Linked DNA regions of Nothobranchius furzeri. The protein of the gene in region 1 interacts with the protein of each later gene in a biochemical or structural test. Links are inferred from orthologs where the notes say so. Each region holds a gene or a part of one and is shown on either strand. Other genes may lie near its edges.

Region 1 (10,209 bases):
GACGCAGACGTGTTAAAGACGCAGACGTGTTAAAGACGCAGGCGTGTTAAAGACGCAGGCGTGTTAAAGACGCAGACGTGTTAAAGACGCAGACGTGTTAAAGACGCAGACGTGTTAAAGACGCAGACGTGTTAAAGACGCAGGCGTGTTAAAGACGCAGGCGTGTTAAAGACGCAGACGTGTTAAAGACGCAGACGTGTTAAAGACGCAGACGTGTTAAAGACGCAGACGTGTTAAAGACGCAGACGTGTTAAAGACGCAGACGTGTTTTTGTCAGACGTGTTAAAGACGCAGACGTGTTAAAGACGCAGACGTGTTAAAGACGCAGACGTGTTAAAGACGCAGACGTGTTAAAGATGCAGACATGTTAAAGACACAGACATGTTAAAGACACAGACATGTTAAAGACGCAGACATGTTAAAGACGCCGACATGTTAAAGACGCAGACGTGTTAAAGACGCAGACGTGTTTTTGTCAGACGTGTTAAAGACGCAGACGTGTTAAAGACGCAGACGTGTTAAAGACGCAGACGTGTTAAAGACGCAGACGTGTTAAAGACGCAGACGTGTTAAAGACGCAGACGTGTTAAAGACGCAGACGTGTTAAAGACGCAGACGTGTTAAAGACGCAGGCGTGTTAAAGACGCAGACGTGTTAAAGACGCAGACGTGTTAAAGACGCAGACGTGTTTTTGTCAGACGTGTTAAAGACGCAGACGTGTTAAAGACGCAGACGTGTTAAAGACGCAGACGTGTTAAAGACGCAGACGTGTTTTTGTCAGACGTGTTAAAGACGCAGACGTGTTAAAGACGCAGACGTGTTAAAGACGCAGACGTGTTAAAGACGCAGGCGTGTTAAAGACGCAGACGTGTTAAAGACGCAGGCGTGTTAAAGACGCAGACGTGTTAAAGACGCAGACACGTGTTAAAGACGCAGACGTGTTTTTGTCAGACGTATTAAAGACGCAGACGCGTTAAAGACGCAGACGTGTTAAAGACGCAGACGTGTTTTTGTCAGACGTGTTAAAGACGCAGACGTGTTAAAGACGCAGACGTGTTAAAGACGCAGGCGTGTTAAAGACGCAGGCGTGTTAAAGACGCAGGCGTGTTAAAGACGCAGACGTGTTAAAGACACAGACGTGTTAAAGACGCAGACGTGTTAAAGACGCAGACGTGTTAAAGACGCAGACGTGTTAAAGACGCAGGCGTGTTAAAGACGCAGGCGTGTTAAAGACGCAGACGTGTTAAAGACGCAGATGTGTTAAAGACGCAGACGTGTTAAAGACGCAGACGTGTTAAAGACGCAGACGTGTTAAAGACGCAGACGTGTTTTTGTCAGACGTGTTAAAGACGCAGACGTGTTAAAGACGCAGATGTGTTAAAGACGCAGACGTGTTAAAGATGCAGACATGTTAAAGACACAGACATGTTAAAGACGCAGACATGTTAAAGACGCCGACATGTTAAAGACGCAGACGTGTTAAAGACGCAGACGTGTTAAAGACGCAGACGTGTTTTTGTCAGACGTGTTAAAGACGCAGACGTGTTAAAGACGCAGACGTGTTAAAGACGCAGACGTGTTAAAGACGCAGACGTGTTAAAGACGCAGACGTGTTAAAGACGCAGACGTGTTAAAGACGCAGGCGTGTTAAAGACGCAGACGTGTTAAAGACGCAGACGTGTTAAAAACGCAGACGTGTTAAAGACGCAGGCGTGTTTTTGTCAGACGTGTTAAAGACGCAGACGTGTTAAAGACGCAGACGTGTTAAAGACGCAGACGTGTTAAAGACGCAGGCGTGTTAAAGACGCAGGCGTGTTAAAGACGCAGGCGTGTTAAAGACGCAGACGTGTTAAAGACGCAGACGCGTTAAAGACGCAGACGTGTTAAAGACGCAGACGTGTTTTTGTCAGACGTGTTAAAGACGCAGACGTGTTAAAGACGCAGACGTGTTAAAGACGCAGGCGTGTTAAAGACGCAGGCGTGTTAAAGACGCAGGCGTGTTAAAGACGCAGACGTGTTAAAGACGCAGACGTGTTAAAGACGCAGGCGTGTTAAAGACGCAGACGTGTTAAAGACGCAGACACGTGTTAAAGACGCAGACGTGTTTTTGTCAGACGTATTAAAGACGCAGACGCGTTAAAGACGCAGACGTGTTAAAGACGCAGACGTGTTTTTGTCAGACGTGTTAAAGACGCAGACGTGTTAAAGACGCAGACGTGTTAAAGACGCAGGCGTGTTAAAGACGCAGGCGTGTTAAAGACGCAGGCGTGTTAAAGACGCAGACGTGTTAAAGACGCAGGCGTGTTAAAGACGCAGGCGTGTTAAAGACGCAGGCGTGTTAAAGACGCAGGCGTGTTATAGACGCAGACGTGTTATAGACGCAGACGTGTTAAAGACGCAGACGTGTTAAAGACGCAGGCGTGTTAAAGACGCAGGCGTGTTAAAGACGCAGGCGTGTTAAAGACGCAGGCGTGTTAAAGACGCAGGCGTGTTAAAGACGCAGACGTGTTAAAGACGCAGGCGTGTTAAAGACGCAGGCGTGTTAAAGACGCAGACGTGTTAAAGACGCAGGCGTATTAAAGACGCAGACGTGTTAAAGACGCAGGCGTGTTAAAGACGCAGGCGTGTTAAAGACGCAGGCTTGTTAAAGACGCAGGCGTGTTAAAGACGCAGGCGTGTTAAAGACGCAGACGTGTTAAAGACGCAGGCGTGTTAAAGACGCAGACGTGTTAAAGACGCAGACGTGTTAAAGACGCAGACGTGTTAAAGACGCAGACGTGTTAAAGACGCAGGCGTGTTAAAGACGCAGGCGTGTTAAAGACGCAGACGTGTTAAAGACGCAGACGTGTTAAAGACGCAGACGTGTTAAAGACGCAGGCGTGTTAAAGACGCAGACGTGTTAAAGACGCAGGCGTGTTAAAGACGCAGGCGTGTTAAAGACGCAGGCGTGTTAAAGACGCAGGCGTGTTATAGACGCAGACGTGTTATAGACGCAGACGTGTTAAAGACGCAGACGTGTTAAAGACGCAGGCGTGTTAAAGACGCAGGCGTGTTAAAGACGCAGGCGTGTTAAAGACGCAGGCGTGTTATAGACGCAGACGTGTTAAAGACGCAGGCGTGTTAAAGACGCAGACGTGTTAAAGACGCAGGCGTGCTAAAGACGCAGGCGTGCTAAAGACGCAGGCGTGCTAAAGACGCAGGCGTGCTAAAGACGCAGGCGTGTTAAAGACGCAGGCGTGTTAAAGACGCAGACGTGTTAAAGACGCAGACGTGTTAAAGACGCAGGCGTGTTAAAGACGCAGGCGTGTTAAAGACGCAGGCGTGTTAAAGACGCAGACGTGTTAAAGACGCAGGCGTGTTAAAGACGCAGGCGTGTTAAAGACGCAGGCGTGTTAAAGACGCAGGCGTGTTAAAGACGCAGGCGTGTTAAAGACGCAGGCGTGTTAAAGACGCAGGCGTGTTAAAGACGCAGGCGTGTTAAAGACGCAGACGTGTTAAAGACGCAGACGTGTTAAAGACGCAGACGTGTTAAAGACGCAGGCGTGTTAAAGACGCAGGCGTGTTAAAGACGCAGACGTGTTAAAGACGCAGACGTGTTAAAGACGCAGGCGTGTTAAAGACGCAGGCGTGTTAAAGACGCAGGCGTGTTAAAGACGCAGGCGTGTTAAAGACGCAGGCGTGTTAAAGACGCAGACGTGTTAAAGACGCAGGCGTGTTAAAGACGCAGGCGTGTTATAGACGCAGGCGTGTTATAGACGCAGACGTGTTAAAGACGCAGACGTGTTAAAGACGCAGACGTGTTAAAGACGCAGGCGTGTTAAAGACGCAGGCGTGTTATAGACGCAGGCGTGTTATAGACGCAGGCGTGTTATAGACGCAGGCGTGTTAAAGACGCAGACGTGTTAAAGACGCAGGCGTGTTAAAGACGCAGGCGTGTTAAAGACGCAGGCGTGTTAAAGACGCAGACATGTTTTTTTGCAGTGAGTAGATTTCTGAACCGTAGACTATGATGAGGTAACATTCACCTCTTCCAATAATAACGTTGATAGCTCCTGGTTCCTCATCCTCTCCACAGGACAGCGTCTGGGAACACCCAGCCCAAAGTCCCCATGAGTCTGTGCACTCAGGCTGGCAGAGGAGTGACCATCGTCAGCCCTTCCTCTGCTCCCCTGGGAGTCATTGTTCCTGGTCCTGATTCCAACAAACCCCTCACCGTGTGCTCCGCCGCTGTACCTGCGTGCTCCCAACCTGCAGCTGTGGTAGCAACAGCTCAGACCGCTACGGGCCAACAGCCTAAAGTCTCTCTCCATGTCAACTCACAGATGACAGTAAACCAGGCCCGCAGCGCCGTCCGGACTGGTACGTTAGACAGATGTTGCATAAGCGGAGTGATTTATAGTTTAAATGTGTCATTTTATTTTATTTCATCTTTGCAGCCGCTTGCCACAGTCAGGACAGACCCACAGCAGCAGTGACACCCATCCAGTCTGCTACACCCGTGACTTTCGTCCCACAGCTCTCCGTTTGTCCGCAGCCCTCCTCTAACTCGGCTCAAGGCTGCTCCCGGGCCGGAGCGGCTCTGGGCTGCGCTGCTGCCTCCCTGACTCCTCCTAATGTGAATGCTGCTTCTCTAGAGGTCGACGCCTTGAGACCTGTTCCTGTGGGCTCTGGGAGCAGTGCTGCCATCAGTCACTCATCCAGCAGTGCAGCTTTTGTCTGCAGAATGGACAAGGATGGAAAGGTGGGATGGTTGTAGAAACTCTACAAGCTACTGTTGATCATTTTTACAATAATACAGATTTTCTTATATTCTGCAGTCTCACTGGGCTGCAACTGACGTTCACAAGAGTTTCCAAAATATCTCTACGTCACAGTCCTGCTGCTTTAATTTGTAGATTAAAACAGTCTGCAGACATCACACATCTGGAACACACGTGTGTGTGTGTGTCTCCTGCAGACACACACCGCTGAGATTCTGGCTTAAATGGTTCCCAGTACAGAGTTCATAATTGTTGGAACAGAGAGACTCAGAATCATGTTGGTAGAACAGCAATCTGTGTGTTTTATTCCCAAGTCAAACGAGCCAGCACAAACCTGTTTTTGACTTTAAGGAAGCCGTTCTAGGCAGCGAGCCGTCCTTCGTGTTTTAGGAAAATGTGCTTTAATCCATAACTGTTTGGAATTTTCAACATGAAATCGATGTTGTTGCAGAGAGAAAAGAAGAGTCTTCTGAAGCTGTTGTCCTCCAATAAGAAGAAGTCTCGACCTTCACCTCCCTCCTCTCCCACCCTTGAAGGAGAACAGGCTGGAGCTGGAGAGGTGCTGCATGGAGCGGTGTGTCCTGACACCTCCCCTCCCTCCAGCTCCGTCAGCTGCCTGGAGCTGGAATCTGCTGCTGTTGCTTCTGCCTTGCCATCCGCCTCCCCCTCAGTCCCCGAGTCTACCCATCGGAAGAGCGGCCCGCTTGATGGATGCGCTCCCATCGCTCCTCCTCCTCGACAGCCCTGCTCCTCTCTTTTACCGCAGCAGTATGATGCACGTCCCATCATATGTGAGAGGTAGGCTGATGTGAGGCTGCCTTCCCTCTAATGCAACATTATACCAGTCGCTCAGTGTGCCTCTGGCTGTTCTCCCCAGGTACAGGGTGGTGGTGTCGTATCCTCCGCAGAGCGAGGCCGAGCTGGAACTCAAGGAGGGGGACATCGTGTTTGTTCACAGGAAGCGGGAGGACGGCTGGTTCAAAGGCACGCTGCAGAGGAACGGCAGGACTGGCCTGTTCCCTGGCAGCTTCGTAGACAGCATCTAACCCACCAAACTTCCCCACGGTGAGCCCAGCTATGTGGGCGCCATCATACCGACACCTGAAGTCCTGAAAGAAACCGCTAGAAGCACACAAGAGAAGCTGAAGGGGCTCTGAAGGCACAGTGGGCGGCGCTAGAGCACACTACACGTGAACTCTTCTCTTATTCTTGGTTATTTATATATTTGTAACAACTCAGCTGTTAAATGTGTGCCTTGTACTGTTCTCCACTTTATTGTACGTAAGGACACAAATATGAGTCCTAAATCAACCAGTATGACCTGTTATCAGCACGTTACACATTTAACTTATTTTATATTCTCCCTAGGCAGCAGGGGGTTACGGACAACACACTTTAGTTCATTTTCTCCTTTAGGCCGCTGATAGGGTTTTCATTATTTTGAACCTTCAGCAGGTAGGAGACCGAACATGAAACCAAACAACCAAAACGAGTCATCTGTGCTGCACCGTGAGAAGAGAAGATGCTTCCCCCGCTCCAAACGAGACGACCAGAAGAATCTGCTGTATTGCACATCTGAATCCTTAAAGCTCCTCCTTAAGCTGCACGGGACTAAGTATTTGCGTGCCGTTCATTGTTAGGTGGCCTTGTTTCGTAGAAAAATGAGAAACTAGCTCGTCATCAACGCAGCCACCCCCCAGGAGGTCATTGATGGCTCTGCCGCAGCTTATTATCCTTAAAACACTCCAGACTCTGCAGTCGAACGTTGCTGGATTTGTACCTTTTGTTTTAATTCTCTGTTTCCTGACCAGAGTAGCTGCTCTCCTAACTCTTTAGTAATATCTGAACCCAGACAGAGCTCTGCCCCTCTAGAGCGACACGTGTCATTAAAACAAAGCAGAATCTTTTATATTTATGTTAACGTTCCACCGAGGCCCAGGCCTGCTGCTTGTGACTGACCGACGCGGTTTCCCTCCCGTGGGAGCTGTTTTTTGGACGCTAGAGTTCATTCCTGATGTGACTTGAGACACTAAAACTCACCGCTGACCGTTTGCCTAAAGCAGCGTCGCTCCACAGACGTCGGTGTCTTCTCACGAATCTCATTTTTTATGAAAACAATCATTTTGAGCCCTTTAATTTGTTTTCTGGTTAAATGTACTGACTTGATTTGCTGTAAGGTTTTTGTTTTTATGTTTTTGATTACATTTGGATTTTGTAAAACATGAAATAGCTTTATTTATTTTTTTAGAATGACTACTCTGTTGTTTTGAAACAAACAACCACAGAAATCCCTGTCTCCTTTATCCCATCAAAACTGATTCAGTCCTGTATGAAAACGCATCAGAAGTAAGTACTGACCAACCCGCCCATGTTCGTACCAGGTGACCCATTCGGACGGCACGGGATGTTCGTTTCGGTTCAATCACGCGAGCCGGTCCTGGATCCTGTTGTTTTGGGTTGTTGACGGGGACCACTGTGTGCCTGACTGCTGGAATATTTAGAGTTTTAAAGAGCGTGTGGAGAGTTATGGTACACATCACTGTTGAGCCTTTTTGTTTGACTTTGTCTTTCTGAGCAGATTTAATCCGATGTTACGACGTTATCTTGGCAAGCACCAACCTCACAACTCCTCTTTGCTTTCCTTGCAAAGCCTTTAAGATTACTGACGTGTTTCAACCCAAATGCACAAGTTTATACCGACATTTGCACTGTCTCAGCATCGCTAATCTTACTGATCTTCGTCATGCCTAGGCTGCACAGTTTGGAAACACGAGGCATTTTTGGATATATTTACAAGTCTGTTTTGTCATCTGTTGAGTATTCAGTAACTTAAAGGGATTTCTTTTTGCAATTTGAAGTGTTTGTGTAAAAGTTGTAAATAATTACAACTTTCCCCTCGTAGCTGGCGTCCTGGAGGGCCCTGTTTGGAGAAGTTTGAGTTTTCATCCTACAGCATTGATGTGCTAACAGCTAGTCTGAGTGCTGCCAAGACCAAAGCTGAGTAAAACTACCAAATGTCACAGCGGTAATGCAGTATTTTTAAACCCTTCCATCGGGGCTGATTACACATGACAGCGTTGGTGACATTCTAGGACCAACGGTGTCATGTCTTCATGTTATTGCTGAAATAATCGTTATTAATAAAATGTCACATTAACCGCTGTCTATGTTTAGAAGAATGGAATCGTTTTAACACATCTCGGTTGCACTCGGCTAACTAGCCGTTAGCTCAGCAGTCCTGAAGGACATAAAGGCTATTTCTCTAAACAAAGTAAGATCTAAACACAAATAAAACAAAATTCCTTTAAGTTGGGTTGCTGAAGCTTAACTTTTCTATGCCAAGGTGGATGACTTGATTTTTTTTTCCTTGTCAAAGTTAGTGTGTTTATGTCTAAAACTAGTGAAACTGAAATCCAACTATTTGGCACATTATGTCAAAAATATTGTGAAGAATTAGAGGGAATGACATTTTGTAAAAAAAAAAAAAAAAAAAAAAAAAAGCTATCCCAAAAGTAAAATGTTTTCCATGTTTTCTTGAAGATTGTGTTGTTTTTTCCTAAGTGACATCATGTCACGCAGGCCTCCTCCTACCAGGGTAGAACTATCCAGCTGGGGCTTCAAGCTGCTGACAGGACTAGGCATCTCAAAGTTTGCATGACATGAGTAAACTTGTGTGTGTGTGTGTGTGTGTGTGTGCGCGTGCGCGTGTGTGTACGTTCAGCAGTGATTTCAGCAGCAGCCATGGTGCATGTGGTCATTATCGTCCCCAGGAAGAGGTGAGCCTCCCCAGCGTGCTCAGCTGGGAAACGCTGACTGGACCTGACAAGCACCCAGAGGTCATTGTGCTGCACACAGCTCCCTGCAGAGGACGGCTCTCCGTGGAAATTACTCCTCCCCACACAAGAATAGGACAAATAAGAATCATTGTGCATGGCCAACACAGGATGCATATATGTTGGAATTGTGTTGAATTTTCATGCTTTAAGGACGTGTGCTAAATTTGCAGCAAGGCTGTTGCTGTCTGACAGCTAAAGCTTACCGGGCTGGTGTGTATTTAAAAATAGGAGAAGCTAGTTTACAGAATGTAGCTGCCAGGGCTATTTGGGCTTCAGCTGAGCCTTGGGGTTAAATGTTTCTTGAATAGATCTTTTGTTTACAGGACATTTGCACAAACATTTGTCTTGGACACTCAGAAGTCTAAGGACATTAGATTCAGCAAATTATACTGAGTTTGATTGTTTGTGCTGTGCAGGTACAAGGGCTGTTAGGTGTAAAAGAGCTAAGTAACATGTTCAGGAAGCGGTCTGAATCACCTTGTTTTCTCCAGAACAAACAGGTATGAATGAGCTGGGGGTTTATGAGTTGCTCCTGCAGCACCATGGACATGAATCCTAGCGCTCTGGGCCAGAGGTCTGCTCTGGCAAAGGTTGTGAATGTTATTTAACCTCAGTAAATCAACCTGGCAGGGTGTCTCAGTCTGATGAAGTGCCCAAGTGTAAATGGAGCTCTCCTATTTTTACTATTGCTCTATTTGTATGCACTGGTGGACACGATGCTATTCCTGTGGAAATACATATTTGAGGAGGGGAACAAAAAACATGGCTGAAGGAAAAGGAGAAACTGTGACACCAGCAGGATGTGTGTAGGGGGAGGGGTCAGGTGAAGAGACGAAAAGCTTTGATATCTACTCGTTTGTGTTCAGCCTTTTGTTAACAAACTTTAAAATAAAAGCTGAAATGTGCTGATATCAGTGATTCCCTAACTTCCTGCCAGTGATGTTTTTCATTGCCAACATACGACAGCTGATTCATAAAGCACCTGGGGGAGGGAAAGCTGAGGTGACTCCGAACGGCTGATTAGTTCTGACACTTCTGGCTGTCTTCAACCTGAGTGGAAACCCGTCATCAGTGAAGTATCAGCGCCTTGATTCACCATGGCAACCACTGAAAGAAGTGCATCAAACACACGAGGAAACTGCAGTTTTATTGAGCAGATTACATTTTATACAAACTGGAGTCACTGATTTGTTAAAAACACTCCTATTCAGTTGCACTCACCCAACAGAAAGAGGCAGAGTTTGCTTTAGTTAGTTGATGAGGTTTAACTCCCAGAGTCTGTTGCCATGGAGATAACTCTGAGATTCACTTAACCTCTGAAATAGCTTTCTGGATTACCATGACGTGTGTGGATCCCTGTGAAATCCATTTTAAACATTGTTTCATCTTCTTAAATGAAGTTATGTTTATTATTATAGTATTTCTGTTGATGTGACATTCTAAAACAAATAAACACCCCAAAAGTTGGTGTTAGCTCTTTGGGGCCACCTATAGGAACCCTGTTTAAAACTTTCTGGAGGCACCCCTGCCCTCAGATGACGCAGCTTGCATCTTACAATATATTCTATTTCTGTTTATTAGTCCTGTTATTATTAGTATTCAGGGAAACTTGG
Region 2 (11,123 bases), on another chromosome or scaffold:
CTTCTTTGGCATCGTCTGGTCCACCTCCGAGTCTGTAAACGAGTACAAAATGAAATCATTACCACCTGAATAACTGCTCCAACACATTAATCAGAAACATACCACAAACAACAATATTTACCAGCTTCTAAACACATTCATTGGTCATTTCCTTGCTACTTATGTCCACAAGTAAGGCTGCAAGCGGCGCTCAGTGTGCTAAGATTAGCAGTTCTCCTGTGATTACCAGAAACGTGGGGTCCTGACCAAAACAACAATCAATTTTGTCCCCGTTTAAGACCATTACCCTGAACAAAACTAATCAGGAAGGAACATGAGCTTCAATAACAGGGTTACGTCTTTTATAGCCAAACACAGGGCGTCTACAAGCACAACAAGACTCCGAAACAGATCAGCGGCAGGGGAAAAGGTCACGGAGAAACGGTTTTCATTCTCACAACAGAAACTTGCTTTAACAGATGAAAATGGTTCAAATGTTATTTTAGTTTTCAACATTTACCTCAGAAATCAACCATAACTGCAACAATAAAACCCTGTTTCTCAACATTAAATAGGTAGGATCTTTGTTTTCGGTTTCTCAGAGTAAAAAGAAGTGAAACCCGTCTGGTGCTTTTTGTAAAACGGTGTTCCCGCAGCTAAGACCTCCTACCTTTGTTTGGGGTCTTTTTTAAGCAGTCCTGCCAGCAGGGCCTTTCCCTCTGGAGCCAGGCTCTTAGGGAAGCGGATCTCCTCCATGAGGATGAGCTCAAACAAACGCTCGTGGTCCTGGTTGTAAAACGGCAACCGACCACACATCATCTCATACATCACCACCCCCAGTCCCCACCAGTCCACTGCCCGTCCATAGTCGTTGTCCTCCAGCACCTGATGGGGAGAAGAGAAATGTTAAATAAAGAAAGAAATCTACTTATTTCTTCTCTGCTGTCCGGTTCCCTTCATTTATAATAAAATACCATAAAATATTAAAGCCATGTCATGCTGGGTGGCGAGATGGACACGTTTTATTTGTGAAATGTTGGGTGGAGCAACGGTAGGTTTTGAAATGATTTTTACCACCTTTTTAACGAAGCTGATTAAGGTAACATCTGTTTAAGCTGTAAGAAATTATTTGTGGGATATATTTTTGCAGGAAATAAACAGCACGTTTATTAAAGACTAAAATTAGAAGTGTGCTCAGAAAACACACCGATTGTTGCCACCTGCAGTCATTGATGACTTTAGTTTTGGTATTTAAAAAGGCATGGTACATTGCTAGTTCGCTTCCATGTCCGTTTTAAACTGATAACCTTACGTTGAGACACGATGGAGGTAGGGCTGCTCGATTATGGCAAAAATAATAATCACGATTATTGTGACTGAAATTGAGATCTCGATTATTTAGGACGATTTTTCAATTTATGTTGATTTTATTTGTTTTTATTCAGTCATAAAATTGCTCAGGGCACAATCAGGACAAAAAAAATGAGAACAAGATGATCACTAAAATAACTCCTGATTCCCAGTATAAAAAGACCAATATACTTATAGCTCATAGTCTATGACCCAAGGGCTATAGACCTTGGTTTAACTCATTTAAGTCTAACCAGTACAGACCCAAATACCAATATGTTGCAAATACTGACAGCAAGAATTATACAGTGGCATTTATAACAAATAAATGCAAATAAATTGATGTTCATAAAATGTTGCATAACATTTATTTAGTCGTGTCAAGATGCTGTAGGAGCAGGCACTAGCACCGTGTCCTCAGAGAGATTAGTTATTTATCAGCGTGGGGAACTTATTTCTACCTTATTAATAAACTATTTATTTACAAGTCCATCAGTTAATGTAATAATTGTCCCAACCACAGCTGCACACCCCTCAACCTGGTCTCAAAGCAATCAGGGGCAAGCTGCACGTGTGTTTAGCACGCCGCATGCGCACATTAGCCGTTTTTAGCGGCTCAGGAGTCCGCAGGTGCGGTGTGTGTGTCACTCACTCTGGTTAATCCACAGGGAGCTGGCTCTGAGGGCTGTTTCTTTAGCGACCGACACATCACTACATCATTCCCTTTCCTAATGTCCTGAAGAACGGTCCGGAGCGCAGGCGGAGTCTTTAGCTAATCTGCAGGAAATGTCGACGACAGTTATCCAGAAAGTAGCTAAGGGGTTCCCAGAGATGTTTTTGAGGTGTTCGCTAGGTACTTTTAAGATTTAAAAAGTCAAGAAGGGGGTCTGAAAAGCTGTTGGAAATAGCGTCAAAGTCGCCAAGTTGGCAACACAGTGGGAGGAGCGCTTCATTTGCAACTCAGGGCAGCGCAAGTGGGATGAGCAAATAATCGGCTTGTTTTGTTTGTATAATCGTTCAAAACTCAGATCGTAATCATGATTAAAATTCGATTAATTGAGCAGCCCTAGATGGAGGTGTAGCTCTTTTGGTTGGATCGTGTACAAAAGGGGTTGATCTCTCTTACAAGACCGTATGTGATCAGTTAGCTCCAGATGTGTTGGTATGACTTTTAGCTACTAGAACATTTGTAGCTCAGCATCGTTACAGATGTTTAGAACTGCTTTGGTCCTTTCTTTATCGGTCTCCACATTTAGCCGTTTGTGTCCATCGTAGCAGCAGCTTCTCACTCATTCCAGCGAATCAAACACCCTTTAGACGGGCATCAAACACTTTCATACATACTGCTCTTTATGACATTATTATTGGCTTCATCACATTCCTCAAAATTAACTATCCTTTTAAATACTTAATAGTCATTCTCCACCAAACTAATAGTCCTCGTTTCACTGTGCGAGTCATTAGATCCTGGTTCTGGTCTATAGGGCCTTACATGGACAAGCACCACCATACATTGGTGATCTTCTTAGTCCCTAAACCCCCAGCAGGTCCCTGAGGTCCAGTGACCAAAGCCTACTGGTTGTGAAGCACCAGGCTAAAGACCAAAGGTGACAGATCATCTGCTGCTGTGGCCCCCAGACTCTGGACCTCTCTCCCCCTGATCAGTGGACTCAGTGGTCTCCTTTAAGAAGCAGCAGAAAACTCACCTGTTCACGCTTTGGCATGACCTTCATCACCACCCTTATTCTGTTCTTATTCCACCTTTCCTGGGATCCACTGATTTCCCTCTTTCCTGTTCATTTTCTCTTTAATTATTTTTTTTATTTAAACCATATCTTTTAATCAATCTTTTTGTGTTTTTTTTTCTAGTGAAGCGCCTCATGAGTTTTATCTAGAGAGGCGCTATATAAAAGATTGTTTTCTTTCTTAGATTCAAAAATGTTGAAATTGTCAAATCTGTCAAATCTGTGATTTAACTATCATTTTTACCTGAAACTGTGTCTGAATTAAAGGGACTTTATGGAGTTTTGAATTTTTATGCTCGCGATTGCCCCCTCAGGCCAAAAGCGTAACGGCAGCTTCAATAGTAGGCTCGTGCATGAGGTGCGCATGCTGTACGTGCACACTCCTTAACGAAAATAACAGCTGAGACAGTCCCGTGTGTGTGTGTGTGTCCCGGAGGACAGAGGACAGGAGAACACGCAGCTAATTAATTAAATAATTTGGTTCTGTACCTTTCTCTTCAGCACAGCCGACAAAGGTTTATGATGGGTCAGTCCTCCTGCATGCTCAGATCATTCCCTTCCCTTGCTTGAAAAATTGTTCCAAAATGAAAGTTGAATCCACATATTTTTTTATCTGTGAATTCAATGCCGTTCAGCGAGTCTCAAATAAAAATTTGGGCATCTTACTGTAAAAAAATATACCATTAATGTAAAAAATAAATTATGTTCATGTCCAGAGTCGAACCCGGATCTCCTGCACGACAGCCTGACGTCTTACTAGGTGTGCTAAAGGGCCAGTTATATGTTTTGCATCTGTAACTTTTATATCTTTGATGACAGCTGAAACAACGTTCAAGGAACGGTTCGGAGTGAAAATGGCTATTTTGTTGCTAATTTGCAGGAAATATCTTGAAGAAAGTTCTACAGAAAGTAGCTAAGGGTCCTCAGAAATGTAGCTAGGTTCATCACTAGGCGTTAGGAACAGCGACAAAGTCGCTGAGTTGGCACTACCTCACTCTCACCTGCTAAAGCTACTGATAGCAAATGCTACGGGCTATGCCTGAGCGTGAACGCGCATGAAGCAGCCTGCTCGACCCGAGCATCTCTCTTTTTCTGTGATTTTACAGAAAAACAGGCAATCACAGTAAAAAGGCCAGGGCTCATTCTACAGGACCAGGGCATTGCAGGAGAATGTATGAAGAAGAAATTTATTATTTCTAGACATGTTTTGGCTGTCAAACTTCCATAATGCCCCTTTAATGGATGTTTCTTACATTTGTTGTAAATAAGTTTGTAGGGATGTAAGGAAATACTGATGCGCTGAGATATGGCGATTTTTCATGTGATGATACTGAATGGATATCTAAAAGCACCGTATCGATTTTTATTGAGGATTTACAAGCAAACATATACTGTATTTCTTAGGTGTGAAGCAATTCAAACTCTGACTGCTAGGTGGCAGCAGTTTTCACCACCTTCTCTCTAGTGGATCTCAAGATAACCCTGCATGCATCTTGGAAACATCTGACTCGAGTTTTCCAATTAAGATCCGTCATAAATTGCATCGTTTTGCCAGATTCCTGCCCATACACACCCCTACACATCTCTACTGGCTTTTGCACATAGGTGTCAACTATTAGAATAGCAAACAGCCCATGCAGTAACAATGTGAAACATACATTGTTCGGTGCGTTGTATTCACTCCCATCACTAGAGACAGTCATGTGTCACTAAGCTGTAGATTTCAAATGGCTGGGCAAATACCGACTATAGTGCTGTCTGCAGGTTTTTCAAGTAACGCCACAAAGATCGGACTTTTATGAATGAGCATCACAGTGAAAAGACGACTTGACCATCTTGTTCATAAATAACGGCGTCTTTCATCTAGGGGTAGCAGAAGCTCAGGAGGTAGAGCGGACTCACCAGTAATCGGAGAATTGTAGGATCGATTATTATTCATTTTGTCAGACACCAACAGTCCAGACAGATTTACCTCTGGTGCCAGGTACTCCGGGGTTCCACAGAAGGTTTTCATGGTGGCGCCGTCTGTGATCCCCTCTTTACAAAGTCCAAAATCCGTTATCTTTATGTGGCCATCTTTGTCTAACATGAGGTTCTCAAGCTGCACATGGAAATGTAGACGCGAATCAGATCAGAAATACAGATCACTTCAAAAAACTTGCTAAGAAACTTCCCATTCTTCTTCCTGACAGGTGAACGAGTCCCCTGGGTTGAACGAAGAGAACACATTACCTTCAAGTCTCTGTAAACGACATTGCGTGAGTGTAGATACTCCAGTGCTGAGACTATTTCTGCACCGTAGAACCGTGCCCTATCTTCAGTGAATACTCTGTCCCGGGATAAGTGAAAGAAGAGCTGCAAGAGGATTAAAAAACATACTGAATATTTTTATTTGCAGCATCATGAACTTGACTCTGTACGTATTAAAGACTGAAGATATTTTTGTTTGAGCTTTACAGGCGGGTGAAGGTTTGAAAAACAAGTGATTGAAAGTGGATTTAAATTCTGACGTTATTCCCATGAAACGGTAATCCGGTCTGGATTACAAACATTCTAAAGGCAAAATATCAAGTCTACAACTGATTCAATGCGGGGAAGTTTCCTTCTGCTTGTTTAAACCTACCGCCTGTCTAAAGCAAAAAGAAATAGCTACCTCTCCTCCGTTTGCGTACTCCATCACAAAGCAGAGCCGGTCGTTTGTTTGAAATGCATACTTTAGAGTCTGCAGAAGAAATCATGTGCACCTTCATTATGAGGATGAAGAGAAGTCTTCAGGCAAAAAACAACAGAAGTACTTGTGACTCACCGTTAGAAAGGGGTGCCTCGTATTTTGGAGAACTCGGCTCTCTGTAACTGTGTGTGCCACCTCGTCCTATAGGAACACACACACACACGCACACACACAGTCCATGCATAAAGAGCACAAACACTAAGCATGTAGCAAAACTACAAGACAGTCCCACTTAAATATTTTAGTCAGCACTGACTTTAGCGATGATGACTTCTTTGCGGAGGATTTTCATGGCATAGTACATCCCAGTGGCTTTCTCCTTCACCAAGATCACTTTTCCAAACGTCCCTTTTCCCAAAAGCTTCAGGTAGTCAAAGTCGATCATGGTCTTCAGGAAAGTTGAGACAAACATTAATTCATCTCTAATTTGTTGGAACTCATTCCTGTTTTCTCAGACATGCCATGATTTATGTGATTTATGTGAAAAAGCAAAGAAAAACACAAAAAACTTTCTTTAAAACATACAAATTAAAAACAATGTTTGCTGCTTTTGCCAGGTTTTCTGTGTTTTGGGTCAAAATCTGCAGGTAAGCATTAAAGTAAAGACTAGGACAAAAAAACATATTTTATAAAAGAAAACAGAAAATGTCAATGAAAATTATCTCTCAAAACATTTCAGCAAGACAAAAATTAAAAAAATAATCAAACAGTGACCTTTTTAATTTAAAAAGGGTTTCACAAAAAAGCTTTGAGAAAGAGGCTTAAAGTTTGACCAACTTGCTCAATAAAGATGAGCTTAGCAGAACACACACACACACACACACACACACACACACACACACACACACACACACACACACACACACACACAGCTGCCAGGCGTTGCTTGTGCAAATACTGACTACTTTTGAACGGGATTTGGACACAGCAATCTCCATCTCCTCTGCGCCGCTGCTGTCACTCGGTGAGCCAAATTTAATCTCCATGGGTTCCTCGTCCTGCTGCTGACTCTTCAGGCTGTTGGTTACTGCCTGGATCGATCTCATCCATTCCTCCCTGACCCAGAGAGAAGCACACGGTGACCTTTTCAAATCTAATGCATGTCTGACTGAATACAAATAAAATGTCAAAGAATAAAATAAAAATTCTACAGAAGTAAAACAAATATTCCTCTGTAAATTGACATTCTATATTATTTTATTTTGAAAATTTGTCACACGGCATTTCCAAAGCAACATGTTTACGTGAAATAGTGGCCTTGCAGTCTTTATTTAGAGTGCAGAGGATAATCTGTGGGCTTCTGGGATTTGGTGGTTGGCAGAGCCCACGTAAAAAAAAAATACACCTAATGACAATTTCTTGGGTTAGAGGTGAAAAATCAGGTATAACCCAACGTGATGGCTGTTTCTATTTTACAAACAAATCCTACACATTTAACAATGGTCATTATAACTTTTACAAACTAAATGTTTTATCCACAGTTTTCATTGTAATTATGTTGTGCACATTTTCACGTGCGGTTTAAAACTCAGGGAATAGTTTCACACGAACACGGTTAAAGCTGCTTTCCGGAGTTTTCTACTTTCAGAAATTATGTATGGTTTTTCAGAAATCCGTAAAAGTGATTATATTATCATGTAATGTGATATAATGTAAGCAATACGTCTTTTTGTTTTTTGCTAAGCATGCCCCCTGCCCTGCAGAGCTCCGTGCAATAGGAAACTGAGCGCTGACCAGAACTAACCAATAGCGTTAGACTACTGCTTAGCGTTAGACTACTGCTTAGACGCTTCAAATTTAAGGAATACCTCGGCTGACACAGAGTTGATGAATTTTTCACGGACAAGTAAGTCTCTAAAATATAAATATATGAGAACACAACATGACATGAGAATAATACTCGTAAAACAGCGTGTTTTAGCTCTGTTTGTCGGCTACAGAAGCACATTTATAAACACAAATGTGAAGTTGCCACCTTAAGAGCAACAGACTTTTTGTGATATGCTTGTCCGCCACTAGATGGTGCCATCGGACATGAGAAATACTCCGGAAAGAGAATTTAAACATAAGAAATTATGTCCAAAGTTCTCCTATTTGTGGTTATTTTGTTTAGATGTTATTATTCCAAATGGTTTGGTTGTAACTACTTCTTTTTACTTGTGTTTATTGTTTAAAGCATTATTTAAATTTAAGATTTACACTAGAAGACACAAAAGACAGCAGTATGACTCACACACCGTTCTTTTTTAGATGAAATGTACCAAACTTGTTCTTTTTAACCAGCTAGCTGCACTCATGAGTAAAGGTAGATAGGTTAGTATGGTGGATTGATTAATTTGACGTTTACAGTTTTTTTTTTAAGTAAAACCAACAACTGGCCATGTCTGTGCATGCTTTAGTGATAAACAGTCAGGCACATCCACGGGCAGCACAGTGTTCCTGCTGCAGAGTTGACAGTACAAATGAGAAACATGTGACTCTACACACTCAGATTCAAATCATGCTAAAGGCTGGACTTAAAGGTCACCTGAGGGGTCAACTTTAGAAAGAAACAACATAACTACCAGTAAAAACACACTTTTCTTTCAGTCGTTTGCATTTATTTGTTTTATTTTTAGAGATAAAAGGCCAGATAAGTTTAAACTTCTCTGGAACTGGAACATTCCTGTAATCAGCTGTGGCTTAGGATGGAATAAATTCCAGTTGGTATTGAGTATGGTTGTGCACTTCATTTGACTGTCAATTCTGGTTTCTAAACCAAAATAGATATAAAAGTGACAAAAAAAAAAAAAGATTATTACAATTATTTCATCACATTATGTTTTGCAAATCTGCCATTTAAATATTTCACTGCACAGATCTGCCTTTTGAGGACCAAGCTCATGAATGTCCCCCTGTGGTGTTTTATGAACCAAGTGCAAGTAAAGATGACGGTGCCGATGCAAAACACATCAGCAGTGTGTGACACCAATAAATACACCTTCATTTTAACTCATTCACTGCCAGCATTTCTCACCACTTTTACTGTTTTCTTAAGAGCGCTAGGATGATGTAGACGCCAAAACAACCAAAGCAATGAGGAGACTCACCTCTTACATCAGGAAGAATCCGCGTGTTTCGAGCGTTATCCGTTTTTTCATAATCTGTTGTCGAATTGTGATCGGCAGACGCTTTTCCGGTTCGCGCCTCACCTTTTTTATAGGAACGGCCCAAAACGATCTCCTAACACATGGATGTTCTGCTTCCTGATCACGTGATGTGTGACGTATGCAGATGAAGATCGGCTTCAGGGCTGAGATAATTGTTCTCTCAGCGCGGGGGCTCGTTCCGATGCTCAAACAGTAAAAAAAAAAAAATGCAAATGACGACTTTAGTCGTCATTGGCGGTGAATGAGTTAATCAGTTATGACCCTAGCAGACTGCTTGGTGCAACTGTTCACACACACACTTCCTGTTTGTCTATGAGCTGCTGTAGTAGCTCTTTCTGCTTTTTCAGTGGCGTTTCCATGTTTGCTTCATGTGGTCAATCAAGTAGAAGATCAAGTTTAATTAGCTGGTGTCTGTTTCAAACTAATGACTGAATGTAGCAAAAATATTTGATTCTCACCCTAAACAGGCCAGAAGTTAGGTGTGTTTTTATATATATATAAGGCCAAGTATAACTCTGGCCACAGTTGCATTATTTGTTTGTCAGGTTTAAAAAAGCTGACATCAACACTGAATTCCTGGTTTCTATTGATCAGCTACACAAAATCATTCCTTACTACACATATTTCCCATGGATCATGTTTGTGACACTAAAAATAAGTCATTTAAAATTCCGATAATTCTAACCCATAGAAAATCAGATTTTACCTCTCCTCCTTGCTGTCTACGTGAAAGGTTCGCTCAATAACCGAGGTCCACTGGAGACATCGGATGACAAACGTGTTGGGCCTGGGGCGTTCCGTCTTCATCAACTGACATTCTATAAACCACAGACTCAACCATGAGCAACAGACCCAATGGAGAAAGCCTAGCATGCAACTCTGTGAAAAACGTGCCTGCAACAGAGAAGTTGTTGAGCGGTGGTTGGCTGGGATCAATGGACACTTCAGGCTTGTCTTTATATCCGATAAACGATCCGTCACTCTTCAGGATGAAGTAACGCGGCCGCCATGTTTTGATGTATTCACCTAGATGTGGACAGATGAGAGGCTGTTTTAATGTTTGACCACTTCCCTGTGGATGACTAAGCCTCTCTGTACCACAAGATTATAAACAGATGACCAACTGAGAGTGACTGAATTAAGCCGATGTTCTTCATCAGTTTGAATAATTCACATCTGTAGCAGAGATATTAACGTATTCAATATTTTATTCCACGTAGATCTTAGCTACAAATTCACATGAGGGTTGGTGAATACAAAGAGACCCTCACCTCTCTTTTGGAGCCATCCCTCTCTAACAACACTGACTTCATTCATGCTGGGGCAGAAAACTGTTGGGGTAGGTAGGGGGGCTGCAGACAAGCCGATGGAAACTGTGGACACTGTGCTTCAAGTCTCTGACTCAAATAAAAACCTTTAGTGTGTAATACCTGGAGGAGGAGAAGAAAAGAACATAATCATGGTTAAATACTGGGAGTATTAATTTGGGTAAAATAAGTCACAGAGTCTTGAATGTTGTGAAATTCAGAAAAACAGTAATAGCAAATGTATAGAGCTCAATGACCCTGTACAGGCGTAGACGAGTTCCCTCTAAAAGAAGAAATGTTTTACGGTTAGACCCATCACCCACGCAAACGTAACTATTCTTTTTAAAACCGCCGACCAAAGTGGACAGCTGTGATTTCTCCATCGTCAGCATTTGCTTGTGGACGTGAAAAAACAACAACAGGGTTTTAGGTTTTATAACGTCACTTCCTGCGTCATAAACGCTCTGATGTCATATGTCTGACCTGTGTTAACGCTTTCTTGTTTCATTAATGCTCTAAGTAGAAAACCACAGGTGAAGGATGACGTTAACAACGGTTTTGCTCACCACTACGTCTAAGGAATACCAGAGCCGCCAAAGAACTGCTAAAGCAGGCATGTCCAAAATGTGGCCCGGGGGCCATTTCTGGCCCACTGAGCAATTTTGTACGGCCCCCACTTAAATTTCTAAAATGGTGATTTTTGTCTCTTCAATAGGATGTTGATATAGATCGCCACTTTCTAACATGTTTATGTTCAGATGTTTACTTATAAGCCTATTTTGGATTTTTTTTTGAAGAGTACAAATTTAAAAAATTATATAAAATAATGTTTGCACTTTTTAAATTAAGAAAATCACATTCT

What was found.
Region 2: the proteins of sh3rf1 (region 1) and akt2 form a complex in vitro, tested with the Homo sapiens proteins (2 studies listed by BioGRID and IntAct, with this or other methods). The link is inferred for Nothobranchius furzeri from reciprocal best matches to the Homo sapiens genes SH3RF1 and AKT2.

Annotation. Positions count from the first base shown.
Region 1 is NC_091748.1:39,158,970-39,169,178, forward strand, and holds the end of sh3rf1 (E3 ubiquitin-protein ligase SH3RF1), read left to right. Parts: intron 1-4,075; coding exon 4,076-4,359; intron 4,360-4,436; coding exon 4,437-4,741; intron 4,742-5,211; coding exon 5,212-5,558; intron 5,559-5,637; coding exon 5,638-5,806; 3' UTR 5,807-6,028; downstream 6,029-10,209. UniProt on the Homo sapiens protein: Has E3 ubiquitin-protein ligase activity. In the absence of an external substrate, it can catalyze self-ubiquitination. Stimulates ubiquitination of potassium channel KCNJ1, enhancing it's dynamin-dependent and clathrin-independent endocytosis.
Region 2 is NC_091753.1:24,397,268-24,408,390, forward strand, and holds part of akt2 (RAC-beta serine/threonine-protein kinase), read right to left. Parts: intron 10,385-11,123; 5' UTR 10,272-10,384; coding exon 10,226-10,271; intron 9,981-10,225; coding exon 9,849-9,980; intron 9,773-9,848; coding exon 9,661-9,772; intron 6,862-9,660; coding exon 6,708-6,861; intron 6,194-6,707; coding exon 6,062-6,193; intron 5,947-6,061; coding exon 5,881-5,946; intron 5,797-5,880; coding exon 5,728-5,796; intron 5,430-5,727; coding exon 5,307-5,429; intron 5,176-5,306; coding exon 5,047-5,175; intron 865-5,046; coding exon 650-864; intron 33-649; coding exon 1-32. UniProt on the Homo sapiens protein: Serine/threonine kinase closely related to AKT1 and AKT3. All 3 enzymes, AKT1, AKT2 and AKT3, are collectively known as AKT kinase.